Linked DNA regions of Saccharomyces cerevisiae S288C. Changing the gene in region 1 together with any one later gene gives a genetic interaction. Each region holds a gene or a part of one and is shown on either strand. Other genes may lie near its edges. The genes, in order: YNR068C and YBR197C.

Region 1 (8,850 bases):
GGAGGAACCTCCTTCGAGGAACCGAGATGTGGAACATCCCAAGGAAAGGAAGAAGACGCTTTCGCATGCAATAATGGAGATCACTGCTCGAGCATAACGAATGTTCAGGAAGATGACTTTGTCCTTCCAGAACTATTGCCGTCATTCGAAATGTATGAAAATTTGCTCAGCAATATACCTCAATCTAGTTTCGATACATACTTTCCGGAGAATCCACCTTTTTATGAGGTTGCTTCCCGAAATCAGAGTATTCCTTCGGAAGGTGAGTCTGGGAATGATATGCGGATTCTTACCGGTGATATCGTTGGCCCAGATAATCATGAAGTGACTGTTGATGGCCGCCGGTTTGCTTCCGGCCCTGCTGAGTCTCAAATTCGTAATTATGATGATACTAAAGGTATCCCAGTTGAGAATATATACGCATTGCCTAGGATTAAAACCCCCATAGCGACTGAATTGTACGTCACAAAGACGGCTCCAAAATTTGGACAGCTTCCTAAACACGAGAGCATGCTAAGGGAATACACCTCTGGGGATATAATTCACGGTTATTTCACTGTAGAAAACAAATCAACCAAACCTATAAAATTCGATATGTTTTATTTAACTTTGGAAGGTACGACAAGTTCAAAAACACAGTCACCCTTTGGAATCCAAAAAACGACAGAAAGAATTTTGAGAATGGTAGATATGGCAGCGAGTTGGTCATATAATCATGAAGACGTGAACACGGGGGAAGACCTTTGTGGATTTTTTGACTCCATTGATAAAACAAGCTTTGGATTACCGAATAGCAGGATACTAAATCCAGGTGATAAACGTAAGAAATTTTTCACTTTTAAAATTCCGAACCAGTTATTAGACGTAACCTGTAAGCACGGTCACTTCTCTCACTCTCTTTTGCCCCCTACATTAGGGTTTGATAGACCATCGAGTTCTCATCCAGAGCTTTCTACTCTAAAATTTTCGGAGAGTTTAGGTTATGGTCGTTTGTCAGAAAGAGGTTCCTCACTATGGTTAAACGACAGTTCTAGTGGCAGCTTAATAAATTACTCAATAAATGCTATGATAGTAGGCAAAGACGTAGCTTCTGGGCGTGTTTGTTTAATGAGTGAAAAAAAGTATAGCATAAGGATAGTTCCATTTGGCTTTCAAAACAATCCAATTAGTAGGGAGAAGTGCCTCAAAGACTTAGAGGATTTCGATATTGAAATTGCAAACAGGCTTGGAATGATCGAAAAAGTCTTTTCTAAAATAGAGCGAGCGATTCCCATTCATAAGGAGGACATACAGGAGGCGAATCGCTCTGATCAACTATCACCCCTAAGAGGTAAGTATGAATGGAACGCGGTAGCTGGAAATACTGAAAACGGAACACTTAAAAAGAAACACTAGTCTGAAGAAGATAAAATTCAAACTGAAATTACTTACTCTATAGCATCTCTCTTCAACACAGGTCTGAAAAATGTGTTTCTCAAAAGTGTGCGTAATATTCCTTCATCTCAACCAGATGATCCCACTTCAAAGACTAACTCAGAGAAAATTGGGCTTATAACAATAAAAATAAAGCCCCCTAGTAATGCTTTGCCATATTGGTGTCCAAATCTAATTCAAAAACAAAATGTATTTTCAATGAGAAACAGGCAGAATCAAAAGAACTGGACTAATTTAAGAGGTCTATTGTCCGTTGAAGAGAGAGAAAAACTAGAAAATTTACGGCTTGAACTAGTATGTATGCAAGCTGCTAATAGTATTCCACATGACCCACCGGAAATCAGTAGTCTGGAGACGGAATTGATTTGCTTAACAACGAACACAAAAGATTGCAAACCAGTGAGGTTCCACAGTGATTTACTTTTAAAGAAGCACAAATACAATGAAATTAAGAAAATATTTAAGGAAATTTTGGAAAACATTGAAGCATATCGCGATGAGTTCACTAAAAATCAAACAAAAATAAACTTACTTCTTGCCGATGACGCAAGAGCTAGCCTGCGTAATAGATCGCTCGATTTTTCTGATTTAATGCCTTCGAGTATAATTAAGGACGTACAGGTTTTAGCCAATATGGAAGCCAATGTTGTTGTCATGAAAAATGCGTTGAAAACGAAGTTGGTTGGAGAGAAAAGTGTGCCTGTTGCTTCTTCTCCTATATCCAGCATAATTCCTCGAACTTCTAGGAATAAAAAAACCTCCCCATCAAACTATCACCATTCGGTACTTTCACATCGGAAATCAAATGAATGGAATCAGGTCAGTTCAACTGAGTATAAGAGAACACTGTTATTGAATATAAAATATAATGATGATTTTAAAGCTACCATAGTGCCAAGTTTTGAAAGTTGTTTATGCTCGAGGTCATATTTCCTCCGCGTAAAACTTCATTTTGATAAAGGTGTTGGATCTGCTGAAATTGATATCCCAGTTCAAGTTAAAAACTCTTTTATTTGATAGATGGCTGTTAAAAAGAATGGTTTCACTGACGAAGTTTTTATCGCTATTGATATTACAGTATCATTACTGATAAACACCTTAGTTCTTGCAGAACTGAAAGTGATAAAGCAAGGAAACAGTGCGCAGTAGCAATCTCTTTTACGATTGTTCTGCGTTTGCCAAGGTATTCTCAAAATACTTTAAGTACTAAAAACCTAAATAATCTCTATACATAGAACTTTGAATTTTCATTGTTTAAAAAAATGTACGGAACTGCTAAGAAAATGTACAAGGTAGTGAAAGCCCACAGAGAGGTACATTTCAAGTGATAAACTTTGCTTTTTAGATTTGAAAATGTGAAATCTTACCACTCTTTAAAGCGACCATACTAGTAATAACGCAGGAATAGTACCACTAAATGGGTTGCCATCAATTTTATGCGCTGTAAGCTGCGCATATGTTTCCTACTTAAGGTTATAAGCATAGAACTGGCCTTTCCTTCAGCAAAAGAATAGAATAAGCCTGCTTGCCAAGAGAACTTGCTCGATAGCGGAGTGCTAGCTATTTTATGACCAATTTGGTATTTGCTGGCATATTTTTGAAAGATCTGGCTTTCTTTTCTTTTTTTCTCCCCTTTTTACCTGAACCTTGTTACCGAGTTCAGCTGCGCTAAGCTCTTTTCGGCTATATTTTGTTATGAAAGCCAGCAGAAAAGGCACGAAATCTCCCAATTTGGTTACCAAGGAAAAACTAGTTAATCATAAAGCTGAACCCAAAAAGTTAAAAATAAGAGCTGGGTATGAAAAGAGTAGCAAAGCATATACACCATACGAAGACTACAAGCGAGGGTAAAGGACTACATATAAATACTTGGTGCAATTTGTTTCAAAAATGAATATCAAGTATGTTTCTTGTGCTTGTTTCAACAAGTAGATAACCATAGTAACGGTCTGCATACAGAAAAGAAAACAAAAAAACAGCTAGTATGCAATTATATCTGACACTTCTTTTTCTATTAAGTTTCGTCGAATGTTCATATATAAGTTTCATATCGAATAATGCAGACGAAATATTGGAAACTGATTTAATTGAAACTTTATCTTACGCTACTTTGACAGTAGGTGAGCCTTATGTTGCACAATCGGTGGTTGTAACAAGAGTATCTGCAGCTTCTCATAGCCCTCTCTCAGTTTCGCCAAAAAATAGAGTGAGCGCATCTCCAATTAATTCACAAGACAGTGATTCTAATACAAGAACAGCAGTTCAACTGTCATTGTCGTTATCAAACTACGCAAGCCAAGTATCTCAAAAAATAAGCGCACAAACCAATAATGATCCTGTCACTGTTTCAAATATTTACGCAAATGATAATTCGAAAAGCAAAAGTTCAGTACACAATTTGAGTTCGGTTTCCGGCGTCGCCTCAGTCATGCCAAGTGCATCAACAATGCGTAAAGTCACCACATTATTATCTCAAACTGCTTCGACTTCGACTTCGACTTTATTTTCTTCATCTTTATCTATTTCGGGGACACAATTAAATGGAACTTTATTGACTTCTGTTTCAAAAGGTACAATCGATCCACTGGTAACTCAAATGCCTTCCTATTCTTCCCAAGAAACAAAAATTATTCCTTCTTCATTGACCTCGAATAAAACGATATATACTATTTCAGTAAGGACAAATGCAGCTACAGCTACCGGCGAAGATTCCTTCATTGCTTCAACTCCTGCTTCCTCGACTTTGTTCTATCCATCCAACTCAACCCAGGATTTAGTCCAGACGCTCGCATCTACAACAGCAAGCCCTGCTTACCCATCTAATAGGACACAAATCACTCTTTCTCCATCTGTATCACTATATTCGACAACTAGTCCAATTTACCCTTCAAACATTACAGAAAACGGTTCTTCACCATCACCATCACTATCATCGACTGTTAGTCCAGTTTATCCATCGAGTTCAACAGGAAACATTCTTTTGTCATCACTATTTTCAACAGTAGATTCTTCTTCCTCTCCGGTTTCTTCGACATTAGATACCATTTATGTATCTTCTTCAATGCAAGCTACCATCTCTTCGTCCTCATCTTCGAGACAAACAAAAACTTCCTCCTCTTCTCTGTCAACCTCGACCAGTAGCACCGCTACCACAACGGAGAACTCTTCAACAACGACCATTGTCAATCTTTTCAATGCTGTTTCGACAGATGAACCACCAACTGTTTTTGACAGATCACCAAATCCTATGTCATTGGCTGATGGGGTGTCAAACGATGGTCCCATTCAAACAAACAAGTTTTATACAAATTTGATTGTTGGTAGTCAGGAATCACCTGCCTTTGTGTATCCTTATTCATTGTGGAAGTACACCTCGAGTTCATATGGTTTTGCTGTTCAACATACAACAGTAGATCAATATAGCTACGGTGGTTATGACAGTTCCGGTAATGCAGAATATTTGGTCAATCCTTTGGGAATTGCTCATGTTGTTTTCTCAGCTTCGAATTTTGATTCAAGTATGACTATGCAAGTTGATGAAATGACCTTGTCTTCAACAAGGGTAGTGCTATCAGAATCCAATGATTCTTCGAACTACCTGGAAATACCTTTGGTTCAAGGTATGGGATTTGCAACTGGTATATATCATGGATCTTTAAATGCCAAGATTGGTTCCAGCGTCGGATTCAATACCATTGTTTCTGAATCATCAAGCAATTTAGCTCAGGGTATTCTCAAATATCGTATCACCCTTTTGAATGGAGTCACTTGGTTATGTTACGTGATAGGACCAGACGATTTAACCTCAACGGACTTTTCATTGGAGGTGAGCTCAGAATATGAAATTAAAGCAAGCGCTAGTGTTGATGGTCTTATCATTCAATTGGCCGTCGCACCTTCTGAAACTGATTACGAGGTCTTTTATGATCAAGCCGCAGGTATGTACGTTACTAATTTCAAGCTGCAGGGTGTCTCTGACGGTTCTACAGCTACCTATGAATTTTCTTATACCACCCAAGGTGAGTCGGCATCAGGTAGCACAATGATTTTTGCCTTGCCCCATCATGAATCTTCATTTAGTGATATAATGCAAGACTACTATACCGGCATTCAACTCGCTTCTACAACTAAGGGTGTAATGAACGGTTATCTAACAACGAGCCTACAATTTTCCACATCTCTAAACAGACAAATATCTTGGTTACCATGGTCTTCTCAACTTGGCTCAAACCTTTTAGAGTATTCTAAAGAACAATTGCAATTATTAGCTGAAGTTGCCAATTCCGAATTACAGGTTAGTATTTCCGAAAGTATAAGCGGGTTAAACACATATTATTTGGGTAAAGTTATCGATAAGTATTCTTACATTCTATTAACGGTCTCCGAAATCATCCAAGATGAAGCCAGTACTAAGAGTACTTTGGAAAACATCAAATCGGCCTTTGATATTCTGCTACAAAATGAACAGACGTATCCACTAATTTACGACACAAAGTTCAACGGTTTGGTCAGTTCAGGAGATTGGGGTTCCACCAGCACGCAATACGATTTTGGTAACACTTATTACAATGACCATCATTTCCATTATGGTTACATTATTCATGCAGCTGCTGTCATCGGCTATGTTGACTCTAAACTGAATGGTACTTGGGCTGCCGACAATAAAGATTGGGTCAATTCATTGGTAAGAGATGTCGCAAATCCATCTGAAAAAGATGAATACTTTGCACAATCGAGAATGTTTGATTGGTTCAACGGTCATTCATGGGCAGCTGGACTTTATGAAAACGGTAACGGTAAGAACGAAGAAAGTAGTAGTGAAGATTACAATTTTGCCTATGCTATGAAGTTATGGGGGGCCACTATCGGTGACCAGTCAATGGAATTGAGGGGTGACTTGATGATTAGTATAATGAAGGATGCAATGAACGACTATTTCTATTATCAAAATGACAACACAGTTGAGCCTGAAGAAATCATAGGAAATAAAGTGAGTGGTATTTTATTCGATAATATTATCGATTATACTACTTATTTTGGAACAAACACAGAATATATCCACGGTATTCATATGCTACCTATCACACCAGTTTCTTCTAATATTCGTTCTGAGACTTTCGTCGAAGAAGAATGGCAGACTAAAATCGAGCCAATTATTGAATCGATAGAAAGCGGCTGGACAGGCATATTGAAGCTGAATCAAGCACTCTTCGACCCAGTAGATTCGTATGCATTTTTCAGTGATTCAACTTTTGATTCATCCACATATTTGGATAACGGAATGAGTCGCACATGGGCATTAGCATTTTCAGGGGGACTGGCCAACTCAATTGCTTAGAAAGAGAACTTGGCAAGCAGGTCTGTCGAGTCTTTCCCACTACATACATATTTTATAGAATAAATCATTTTTACTTAACTTGAAAGTTGTTGCGTTCGAAAAGACCACGGCTAACGGAGACCACTTAGGTAAATGCATGCCAGTAAGAGGTATATTAGTACTTTAATGAATGAACTTAGCAAGGTAATGCCTGCACTAAAATAAAATTCTAACGTCATCCTAAGAAGCATCAATTGGACATAGTGAGGAAAAGTTTTCACCATTTAAAATTTGTTTTGCAGAATACCATTCTAGACTATGATCCCTTAGAGATTCTCATTCTTTAAATATCAGCTTCAACAGCATATCTTTATAGTATTATCGTACTACTGGCGACATTAGCAAATCAAAGTATTTTTGCTCAGTTTCTAGTTTTATCTGTTTGATTCCCCATTAGATGGTAAACACGTTGTCTTGATGACTGAAAAGGAAGTGAACATGGTCAACTCAAAATAACCAGACTCAAAATAATTGCAATTACCTAGGCTAGATATTTTTAGAATATTATGAGAATATTTTTAGAATATTTGCAACCCAAAATATATTTAAATGCCGCCAATTTGCAACCAAAAGATTATCCGCTACCTTTTTTTTAGTCATTGAATCGTAGCATAAAGTTCCGAGCTTTGAAAAAAAGCTTTGAACTAAGAAAAGGTAAGAGATCCTCAATTATGATATTACTCCAAGTCATATGCACGATTTGGACATGTCTCTTTATTCCGTTACTCAATGCAGAGGAATTCGTCCCCAAAGTAACGGAGACTCTTTCAGAATATTCATTTAGTCTAGAGAGCTTTGACGATTCCAACAGTTTAATCAGATTAGATAATCAAGTCGTGTGGATAAGTTCCGATTCTGGAGAAAATTGGGAAGCGGTCAAAGAAATTGAAGGGCATATTCTCGAATTAATTGTTGATCCTTTGCATGGACAGGACAGGGCTTTTGTTTCGATACATTTATCACCCAAATTTTACGTCACCGATGATCGTGGAAAATCATGGAGGGCTCTGACTATACCCGTCTCTGAAAACTGTCGTTTGGGTACTTCTTGCTCTATAGCTACCCATCCGACAGATAAAAAGTACCTTATTGCAGATTGCCCTTGCTTTATAAACGACAATGGTTATATCCAAATACAAAATGAAACTTACTTTACCAACGATGGGGAATCCTTTTACAATATCGAACCTTCCTTGAAAAAGAAAGAAGATGACCATATAACAAGTTCAAGCTGCAACTTTGTCAAATCTAGCAAGGATTCTGATATTGAGGGTAACGACGCTTCGATACTATGTTTGTTCTCGAACCATGGTTACGATAGCGATCGTCACTTAAGTGCCGCATATACACAATTAGCCTTAAGTACTGATGGAGGTAAAACTTTCAAAAAATTTGATGAGTTTAATGATAAAATTATTTATCAATACAAGATATTAAAATCACATATAATCGTTTCGACACAAGATGATAGATACAATGAAATGTCACCCATGGACATCTGGATATCCAATGATGCGTCTACTTTTCAAAAGGCACGTCTACCTGCTCAAGTACGGCACGTCCATATGTATGGAATTTATGAAGATTCTATTGGAAGAATAATCATTCCTATATCTACGATATTCACAGATGAAAAAAACGACCAACCAGCTCCCTCAGAAATTTTAATATCAGATTCTCAAGGGTTGAAATTTTTACCTGTTGAATGGACAATAAATCCTCACTTTGGTTATATTGATATTGCTTCTCCTCATTTCTTAGAAGGAACAATAATTGGCTCGTTTCATCCTTCCTTTGACTACTCTCATAACAAAGGAAAATATAATAAAAAGATAGCCAGATATGAAACTAAAATATCTGTTGATAACGGCCTCACATGGTCAAATTTGAAAGTGGTTGACGAGGAAAATGCAGATTCATTCCCTTGTGATATCACTAGGCCTGAAAGATGTTCGCTCCAGAACCCTTTTTATAGTATCTAAATCTCAAATCCTACTGCCGGAATTATGTTAATGACAGGTTCCGTTGGCGACGGTAGT
Region 2 (8,714 bases), on another chromosome or scaffold:
TTTTCAGCATTTATATGGCTTTCTTGACAATTTCTTTTCACACAGTGCTTTCAACGTGCATCCATATGGGTTTAGTATATTAGTGAAAACATATGCTGATTAAGATGGTACATCAAATTATGGCTGTATTGTCACTTTCTTTTTTTCCTGTTCGTAAATGAATGGGGCCCTTCGCCATTTGTCCGTTTAGGGTAATATTAGTTAAGAAGCCGTTAAGGCCCGGGAAGAATGTCGAATAACAATAGATAAGAGATATTGTAAAGTTTTTGGATTTCGGTTTACCATATTGTATTGAAATGATTGAAAATATAACGACATTATAATTCCATATTATCAAGTGACATTTTTGAGGAGTAGCTTTCTCAAACCAATAATACCTTCAACAATACTATCTACTGGCTGAGAAACATTTCATTTTCCATGAATGTTCACCTGTAACATTTTTAGGTTGCTACATTATAAACTTTTCTTAATTCCATAATATATATCTATCTATGTGCGTCCTAAATTAAATCATAAAACCCCAGATGTGATGCCGTTCTCGAAAGCAGCGGCACAAATTCTCAAAGCTAATGTCTTCAATACATTTCTAACTCTTCCTCAGACATAGAGTGTCTTATCCAGGTTGCCTGGCAATTTTGGTTGTCTAGATCACTCCAAGGAGTGAATTTGCCTGGTACACAATTTCCATTACACCTATCTGAATCTGCTGGACAAGTTGGACAGTTCGTGTACGGAGTATGGTGATAACCTATATCCCTGAACCAATGGATGCTTGACTTATCCGCAAATAAAGCAAGTGCCAAACTTCTTACAGGGGCATCACCCCACCTTTCATAGTAGAATCCTCCCTTTTCTTCAAGATATTGCATATATTTTTCATAAGGTTCTGACCTCAAAAAGTCTAAATCGACTATTTCAAAATTGGTCCAGAAATGACAAGTTGAATACCCTTGAGTATAATCATAATTTTTTGGATTTTGAGAGTTATCTTTTAGCCATGCGAAGGCTCCGTTGACGTTCAAATAGTTTGGGTGTTCCTCGACAAAATCCATAGTTGAAGTCCATAGCGTTTCGATGGTTTGCGGACTATCATAGAGGTTCAAAACAAACCCATAAATCTTGTCATTCTTGTTCATAAATTGGAAAACGTCATAGTTAATTTTGCAATAGAAATTCACGTTTGGCTCTAATCTCCACACATATTTATATTTAGATAGCAGAGGATGATGGTAAAATTCTTTAGAATAGAAACGACACATGTTATGATAGGATTCCACCTCTGCATACTGAATGTTCTCTTTACTCATTTTGTCCATTTCTTGGTCGTATCTCTCCCTATCTATGCTATCAGGCATATTCCAGTTATCTGGACCAATAGTGCCAAATTCTACTACACGGTCCTTAGGAAGAATACTTTTTATTCCATCTTTGAATTCGTCAGTAAATTCCTCATCGTTAAGGAAGGTATAGGGATATCCAAAATTCTTATTGTACTCCTCTTCTAGCTGTTGAATAGAAGAAATTATATCCTCTAAATCAGAATTTCTCACCAAACTCAAAATAGTTCCTTTTGCCTTGCCGGCTAACGGATCCCCGCTACGTACCAAATTGTCCACCTTTGGCTCAGAAATTTCTTGAAGTAAAAACTCCTCGTACAACTGTTTATTTTCAGCAAGGACTTCATTCGGGTCAAAAGTGTCCTTTTCATAAAGGGGCTCGTGTAGCCTGTCCATTATGCTATCTAACACCTCAGCATCATGATCAGGAAGTTCATCAGCGCTTTCAGTTTTACCTGTAATACTTTTGTAGCTCTCCCGGAGAGAAGCATACTGGGACTTGGCACTATCCTTGACTGCTTGCAAATAGTTCTCATTCGCCGTTAAAAAGTAAAGAACAACGGTTACGGCAATCGATATTAGAATGATCACTGAAAGTACAGGTTTCAGTATCCTTTTTGAAAGAAACCTCATATCAGTTCGTATGGTTCACCTTGTTGGGTCTAAACTAAAAATTGTGTTCTGCTGTAACGGCCTATTGTATATTATACAGCCGTGCAACACCGTGAAAGTATCTGCATATCAAATGGTTCAAAATATTTCACTACATGCAGTTAGAGAACGTCTTATAGAGCTCGTTCCGTTGAATGGAATTCTCCCCTTAGCCGGGTAAAAGTAGCTGTAAATATCATCTTTTACGGGTTCAGATGAATTGTTCAAAAGCAAAAAAGTTTCAAGATTTCAAATGAAGTCTACAAAGTGGCAGAAAGAGCAATAAAGCAGGCATAAGGGTAGGAAAAGAGAAGGAGAAAAGATACGAGAAACTCCGGGTTCAAGTTGAGATACTTGAAAAATAAGAATGTCACAGAAGCAAAGTACGAATCAGAATCAAAATGGCACGCATCAGCCACAACCAGTAAAGAATCAACGAACTAATAATGCTGCTGGCGCCAATTCCGGCCAGCAGCCACAGCAACAGAGTCAAGGCCAGTCTCAACAGCAGGGGAGGTCCAATGGTCCGTTTTCGGCGTCAGACTTGAATAGAATTGTCCTAGAGTACCTGAATAAAAAGGGATACCACCGTACAGAGGCCATGCTGAGAGCCGAGAGTGGACGTACACTAACACCTCAAAACAAACAATCACCAGCAAATACTAAAACAGGTAAATTTCCTGAACAATCATCAATTCCTCCGAACCCCGGGAAGACAGCTAAACCCATAAGCAATCCAACTAATTTGTCATCCAAGAGAGATGCAGAAGGTGGTATAGTATCTAGCGGGCGACTAGAAGGGCTCAACGCACCTGAAAATTATATACGTGCATATTCAATGTTGAAAAACTGGGTAGATTCGTCGCTGGAAATTTACAAGCCGGAACTAAGCTACATCATGTACCCAATATTCATTTATTTATTTTTAAATTTGGTGGCCAAAAATCCTGTTTACGCCCGTCGTTTCTTTGATAGATTTTCTCCCGATTTTAAGGACTTCCATGGCTCAGAAATTAATAGACTTTTCAGTGTCAATTCTATAGATCACATCAAGGAAAATGAGGTCGCAAGTGCTTTCCAATCTCACAAGTACAGAATTACTATGTCTAAAACCACTTTAAATCTTCTCTTATATTTTTTGAATGAAAATGAGAGTATTGGAGGTTCATTAATAATTAGTGTAATAAATCAGCACCTAGATCCAAATATTGTAGAATCAGTAACCGCAAGGGAAAAATTGGCTGATGGAATAAAAGTTCTCAGTGATAGTGAAAACGGAAATGGTAAACAAAATTTAGAAATGAATTCTGTTCCTGTCAAGCTGGGACCTTTCCCAAAAGACGAGGAGTTTGTTAAGGAGATTGAAACTGAATTGAAAATTAAGGATGATCAAGAGAAACAACTAAATCAACAAACTGCAGGTGACAATTACAGTGGAGCCAACAATAGAACCTTATTGCAAGAATATAAAGCTATGAATAACGAAAAATTTAAGGATAATACTGGCGACGATGATAAAGACAAAATTAAAGATAAAATCGCCAAAGATGAGGAAAAAAAAGAGAGCGAATTGAAGGTGGATGGTGAAAAAAAAGACAGCAATTTATCTTCGCCAGCACGTGATATTTTACCTTTACCACCAAAGACGGCACTAGATTTGAAGTTGGAGATTCAGAAGGTCAAGGAATCTCGTGATGCCATCAAACTAGATAATTTACAGTTGGCCTTACCAAGCGTGTGCATGTATACATTCCAAAACACAAATAAAGACATGTCATGTTTAGATTTCAGTGATGATTGTAGGATAGCGGCTGCTGGCTTTCAAGACAGTTATATCAAGATCTGGTCACTCGACGGCTCATCACTTAATAATCCTAACATCGCGTTAAATAACAACGACAAGGATGAAGACCCAACGTGTAAAACTTTGGTGGGGCACAGTGGTACAGTATATTCAACAAGTTTCAGTCCGGATAATAAGTATTTACTTTCTGGTTCTGAAGATAAAACCGTCAGGCTATGGTCCATGGATACTCACACCGCGCTAGTAAGCTATAAGGGCCATAATCACCCTGTGTGGGATGTTAGTTTCTCCCCGCTAGGCCATTATTTCGCCACTGCATCGCACGACCAAACCGCAAGGTTATGGTCATGCGATCACATATATCCATTAAGAATATTTGCAGGACATTTAAATGATGTTGATTGTGTGTCATTTCATCCGAACGGTTGCTATGTGTTTACGGGATCCAGCGATAAGACGTGTCGAATGTGGGACGTTTCTACAGGCGACTCGGTTAGGTTATTTCTTGGACATACTGCGCCCGTCATTTCTATTGCTGTTTGTCCAGATGGTAGGTGGTTGTCCACTGGTAGCGAAGATGGTATTATTAATGTATGGGATATTGGTACCGGCAAAAGGTTGAAACAAATGCGTGGCCATGGTAAGAATGCCATTTATTCCTTATCATATAGCAAAGAGGGAAACGTACTTATTAGTGGAGGTGCCGATCATACAGTCCGTGTATGGGATTTGAAAAAGGCCACTACTGAGCCAAGCGCAGAACCAGATGAGCCATTCATTGGATACTTGGGTGACGTTACTGCATCTATAAACCAAGATATAAAAGAATATGGTCGCAGAAGAACAGTAATACCTACAAGCGATTTAGTAGCGTCGTTCTACACCAAAAAGACGCCTGTTTTTAAGGTCAAGTTCAGCAGAAGCAATTTAGCCCTTGCAGGAGGTGCTTTCAGGCCATAATTCACACTGAAAAAAATAACAGCATGGAAGTGATATGTAATAAGTATAACCTAATCCGATATGTAACTATTAGATGCTTTTTCGACATCGTACTTGACCTGCTCGGCGGTTATCATAGCGTCTTCTTTAGCCTTTTTTTTTTCGCTCAGTCATCGGGGCCAAAACAAGAAAGGCGAAGAACAGAAAAATGAAAAATGTAACTGGTTGTTGTAAAAACCTTCCAGAGAAATAAGATGAAATGTATGTTGCTGGCACGAACGAAGACAAATAATGGGAGTGAAGCAAACCCCACCAGTCCAGGTGAAAGTAAGCGACGCGGATTCCACCAACAGAAGGAAATCTAGTAGCCAGGAAGGAAACCCTCAGCTGGTTCAATTAAAGGCAAAGAGCGACAAAGATAAAAGAAAGGGATCTTCAGATTCCACTGCCTCTATAATGGGCAGTTCCAACGCACTTCCGACCAAAAACCTAACCACGCCTCCAGCACTAAACCCCTTAACGACCAGCATTAGTAGGGGTAATACTGCATACGAAAGAAGCGTAAATGGTAGCCGTATAACAATGCACTCAAACCTGGCACCTACGGAGACGCAAGACGTATCATGGTCTGAAATCGATACACTGGATGATGTGAAGAAGATGGCGAAAGAACCTATCGTCAACGACGGGTTCCCACGAGATTTTGAGAGCAATCTCACGCAAATGCGCAAGTCGCACGCTCAACTACTGCGATTAATGAGGGAAAGAAATCAGCGACTAAAGTATGCCAAGCTGAGGAGCCCTCCTCATAAGGATCAGCATAATTCTGCCACGAATAAAGATCAAGAACCAGACGAGGTATTGCATGACCCGGAAATCGCACTTGACGGTGAGAAGTACGTGAGCCAAGTTGTCGATACTATTAAAGATGTTCACCGATGCTGATGACATGTATGGGTTGAAAATATTTAGAGGATGCTAAAAGTCCCGTCTAAAATAGAGGAAGTCATGGATTACATTATCACCTTTATTGTCCTGTTCCGTCTGGCTAATTTGGGACGAGGAACGTTTGTCTCCATTCGCAACCTTTTGAAACCATATGAACGGCGGCTAATCTGACAGATGTCTTATATTTCTAGGATTGTAGAAAGCCTCCTCATCAAACCACCTTGTTTGAAAAAGGCACTAGTGCGGTTGCTTTACTTGATCTAGTATTCTCCTACCTTGGAGCGGTCCCATATCAACTAAATTCAGTTTTCTGACTGAGTTAAAAACTAATGTAGCGACACCACTTCCATTGGTGCCTCCGTTATTTTTTTTTTGTATGTTAATGCTAAATAATACACCGCTATGTATTTCAGGGCACTACTTCTACACATCAACGGTACTAAACATTTCGCTCAAGATCGGTCCGCTTTCACGTATTTGGATGCTATGCAATGTTGACTATTCTTAGTGGATAACATGCGGCATTTCCTGGCGGCTATTTGCATCGCTATGTAAGTGGCAATGTTCGGATGTGGGTAGTACTTTCAAAAGAAAAAATATTACTGAAGAAGGCATACTACGCCAAGACTATTTTATTCTCAGCACTTGTCCTACGTGGGGTTAGAGGCGAGTAAGACTTTGGCCCCGCTGCGGAAGCAAAGAGAATTTTGCCATCGGACATGCTACCTTACGCTTATATCTCTCATTGGAATATCGTTTTCTGATTAAAACACGGAAGTAAGAACTTAATTCGTTTTTCGTTGAACTATGTTGTGCCAGCGTAACATTAAAAAAGAGTGTACAAGGCCACGTTCTGTCACCGTCAGAAAAATATGTCAATGAGGCAAGAACCGGGATGGTAACAAAAATCACGATCTGGGTGGGTGTGGGTGTATTGGATTATAGGAAGCCACGCGCTCAACCTGGAATTACAGGAAGCTGGTAATTTTTTGGGTTTGCAATCATCACCATCTGCACGTTGTTATAATGTCCCGTGTCTATATATATCCATTGACGGTATTCTATTTTTTTGCTATTGAAATGAGCGTTTTTTGTTACTACAATTGGTTTTACAGACGGAATTTTCCCTATTTGTTTCGTCCCATTTTTCCTTTTCTCATTGTTCTCATATCTTAAAAAGGTCCTTTCTTCATAATCAATGCTTTCTTTTACTTAATATTTTACTTGCATTCAGTGAATTTTAATACATATTCCTCTAGTCTTGCAAAATCGATTTAGAATCAAGATACCAGCCTAAAAATGTCCAATAACTCATTCACTAACTTCAAACTGGCCACTGAATTGCCAGCCTGGTCTAAGTTGCAAAAAATTTATGAATCTCAAGGTAAGACTTTGTCTGTCAAGCAAGAATTCCAAAAAGATGCCAAGCGTTTTGAAAAATTGAACAAGACTTTCACCAACTATGATGGTTCCAAAATCTTGTTCGACTACTCAAAGAACTTGGTCAACGATGAAATCATTGCTGCATTGATTGAACTGGCCAAGGAGGCTAACGTCACCGGTTTGAGAGATGCTATGTTCAAAGGTGAACACATCAACTCCACTGAAGATCGTGCTGTCTACCACGTCGCATTGAGAAACAGAGCTAACAAGCCAATGTACGTTGATGGTGTCAACGTTGCTCCAGAAGTCGACTCTGTCTTGAAGCACATGAAGGAGTTCTCTGAACAAGTTCGTTCTGGTGAATGGAAGGGTTATACCGGTAAGAAGATCACCGATGTTGTTAACATCGGTATTGGTGGTTCCGATTTGGGTCCAGTCATGGTCACTGAGGCTTTGAAGCACTACGCTGGTGTCTTGGATGTCCACTTCGTTTCCAACATTGACGGTACTCACATTGCTGAAACCTTGAAGGTTGTTGACCCAGAAACTACTTTGTTTTTGATTGCTTCCAAGACTTTCACTACCGCTGAAACTATCACTAACGCTAACACTGCCAAGAACTGGTTCTTGTCGAAGACAGGTAATGATCCATCTCACATTGCTAAGCATTTCGCTGCTTTGTCCACTAACGAAACCGAAGTTGCCAAGTTCGGTATTGACACCAAAAACATGTTTGGTTTCGAAAGTTGGGTCGGTGGTCGTTACTCTGTCTGGTCGGCTATTGGTTTGTCTGTTGCCTTGTACATTGGCTATGACAACTTTGAGGCTTTCTTGAAGGGTGCTGAAGCCGTCGACAACCACTTCACCCAAACCCCATTGGAAGACAACATTCCATTGTTGGGTGGTTTGTTGTCTGTCTGGTACAACAACTTCTTTGGTGCTCAAACCCATTTGGTTGCTCCATTCGACCAATACTTGCACAGATTCCCAGCCTACTTGCAACAATTGTCAATGGAATCTAACGGTAAGTCTGTTACCAGAGGTAACGTGTTTACTGACTACTCTACTGGTTCTATCTTGTTTGGTGAACCAGCTACCAACGCTCAACACTCTTTCTTCCAATTGGTTCACCAAGGTACCAAGTTGATTCCATCTGATTTCATCTTAGCTGCTCAATCTCATAACCCAATTGAGAACAAATTACATCAAAAGATGTTGGCTTCAAACTTCTTTGCTCAAGCTGAAGCTTTAATGGTTGGTAAGGATGAAGAACAAGTTAAGGCTGAAGGTGCCACTGGTGGTTTGGTCCCACACAAGGTCTTCTCAGGTAACAGACCAACTACCTCTATCTTGGCTCAAAAGATTACTCCAGCTACTTTGGGTGCTTTGATTGCCTACTACGAACATGTTACTTTCACTGAAGGTGCCATTTGGAATATCAACTCTTTCGACCAATGGGGTGTTGAATTGGGTAAAGTCTTGGCTAAAGTCATCGGCAAGGAATTGGACAACTCCTCCACCATTTCTACCCACGATGCTTCTACCAACGGTTTAATCAATCAATTCAAGGAATGGATGTGAACAAATCGCTCTTAAATATATACCTAAAGAACATTAAAGCTATATTATAAGCAAAGATACGTAAATTT

The links.
Region 2: mutations in YNR068C (region 1) and YBR197C together harm fitness more than expected from each alone (negative genetic interaction), as found in Saccharomyces cerevisiae (one large-scale study listed by BioGRID).

The regions. Positions count from the first base shown.
Region 1 is NC_001146.8:753,668-762,517, reverse strand, and holds YNR068C (uncharacterized protein), read left to right. Parts: upstream 1-1,632; coding exon 1,633-2,451; downstream 2,452-8,850. Other genes in the region: BSC5 (Bsc5p), read left to right, coding at 1-1,395; DSE4 (endo-1,3(4)-beta-glucanase), read left to right, coding at 3,419-6,772; YNR066C (uncharacterized protein), read left to right, coding at 7,483-8,793; YNR065C (uncharacterized protein), read left to right, coding at 8,818-8,850.
Region 2 is NC_001134.8:612,168-620,881, reverse strand, and holds YBR197C (uncharacterized protein), read left to right. Parts: upstream 1-5,025; coding exon 5,026-5,679; downstream 5,680-8,714. Other genes in the region: phosphatidylinositol-3-phosphate-binding protein BEM1, read right to left, coding at 1-10; KTR4 (putative mannosyltransferase), read right to left, coding at 579-1,973; TAF5 (chromatin modification protein), read left to right, coding at 2,359-4,755; YBR196C-B (uncharacterized protein), read left to right, coding at 6,252-6,356; YBR196C-A (uncharacterized protein), read left to right, coding at 6,709-6,858; PGI1 (glucose-6-phosphate isomerase), read left to right, coding at 6,982-8,646.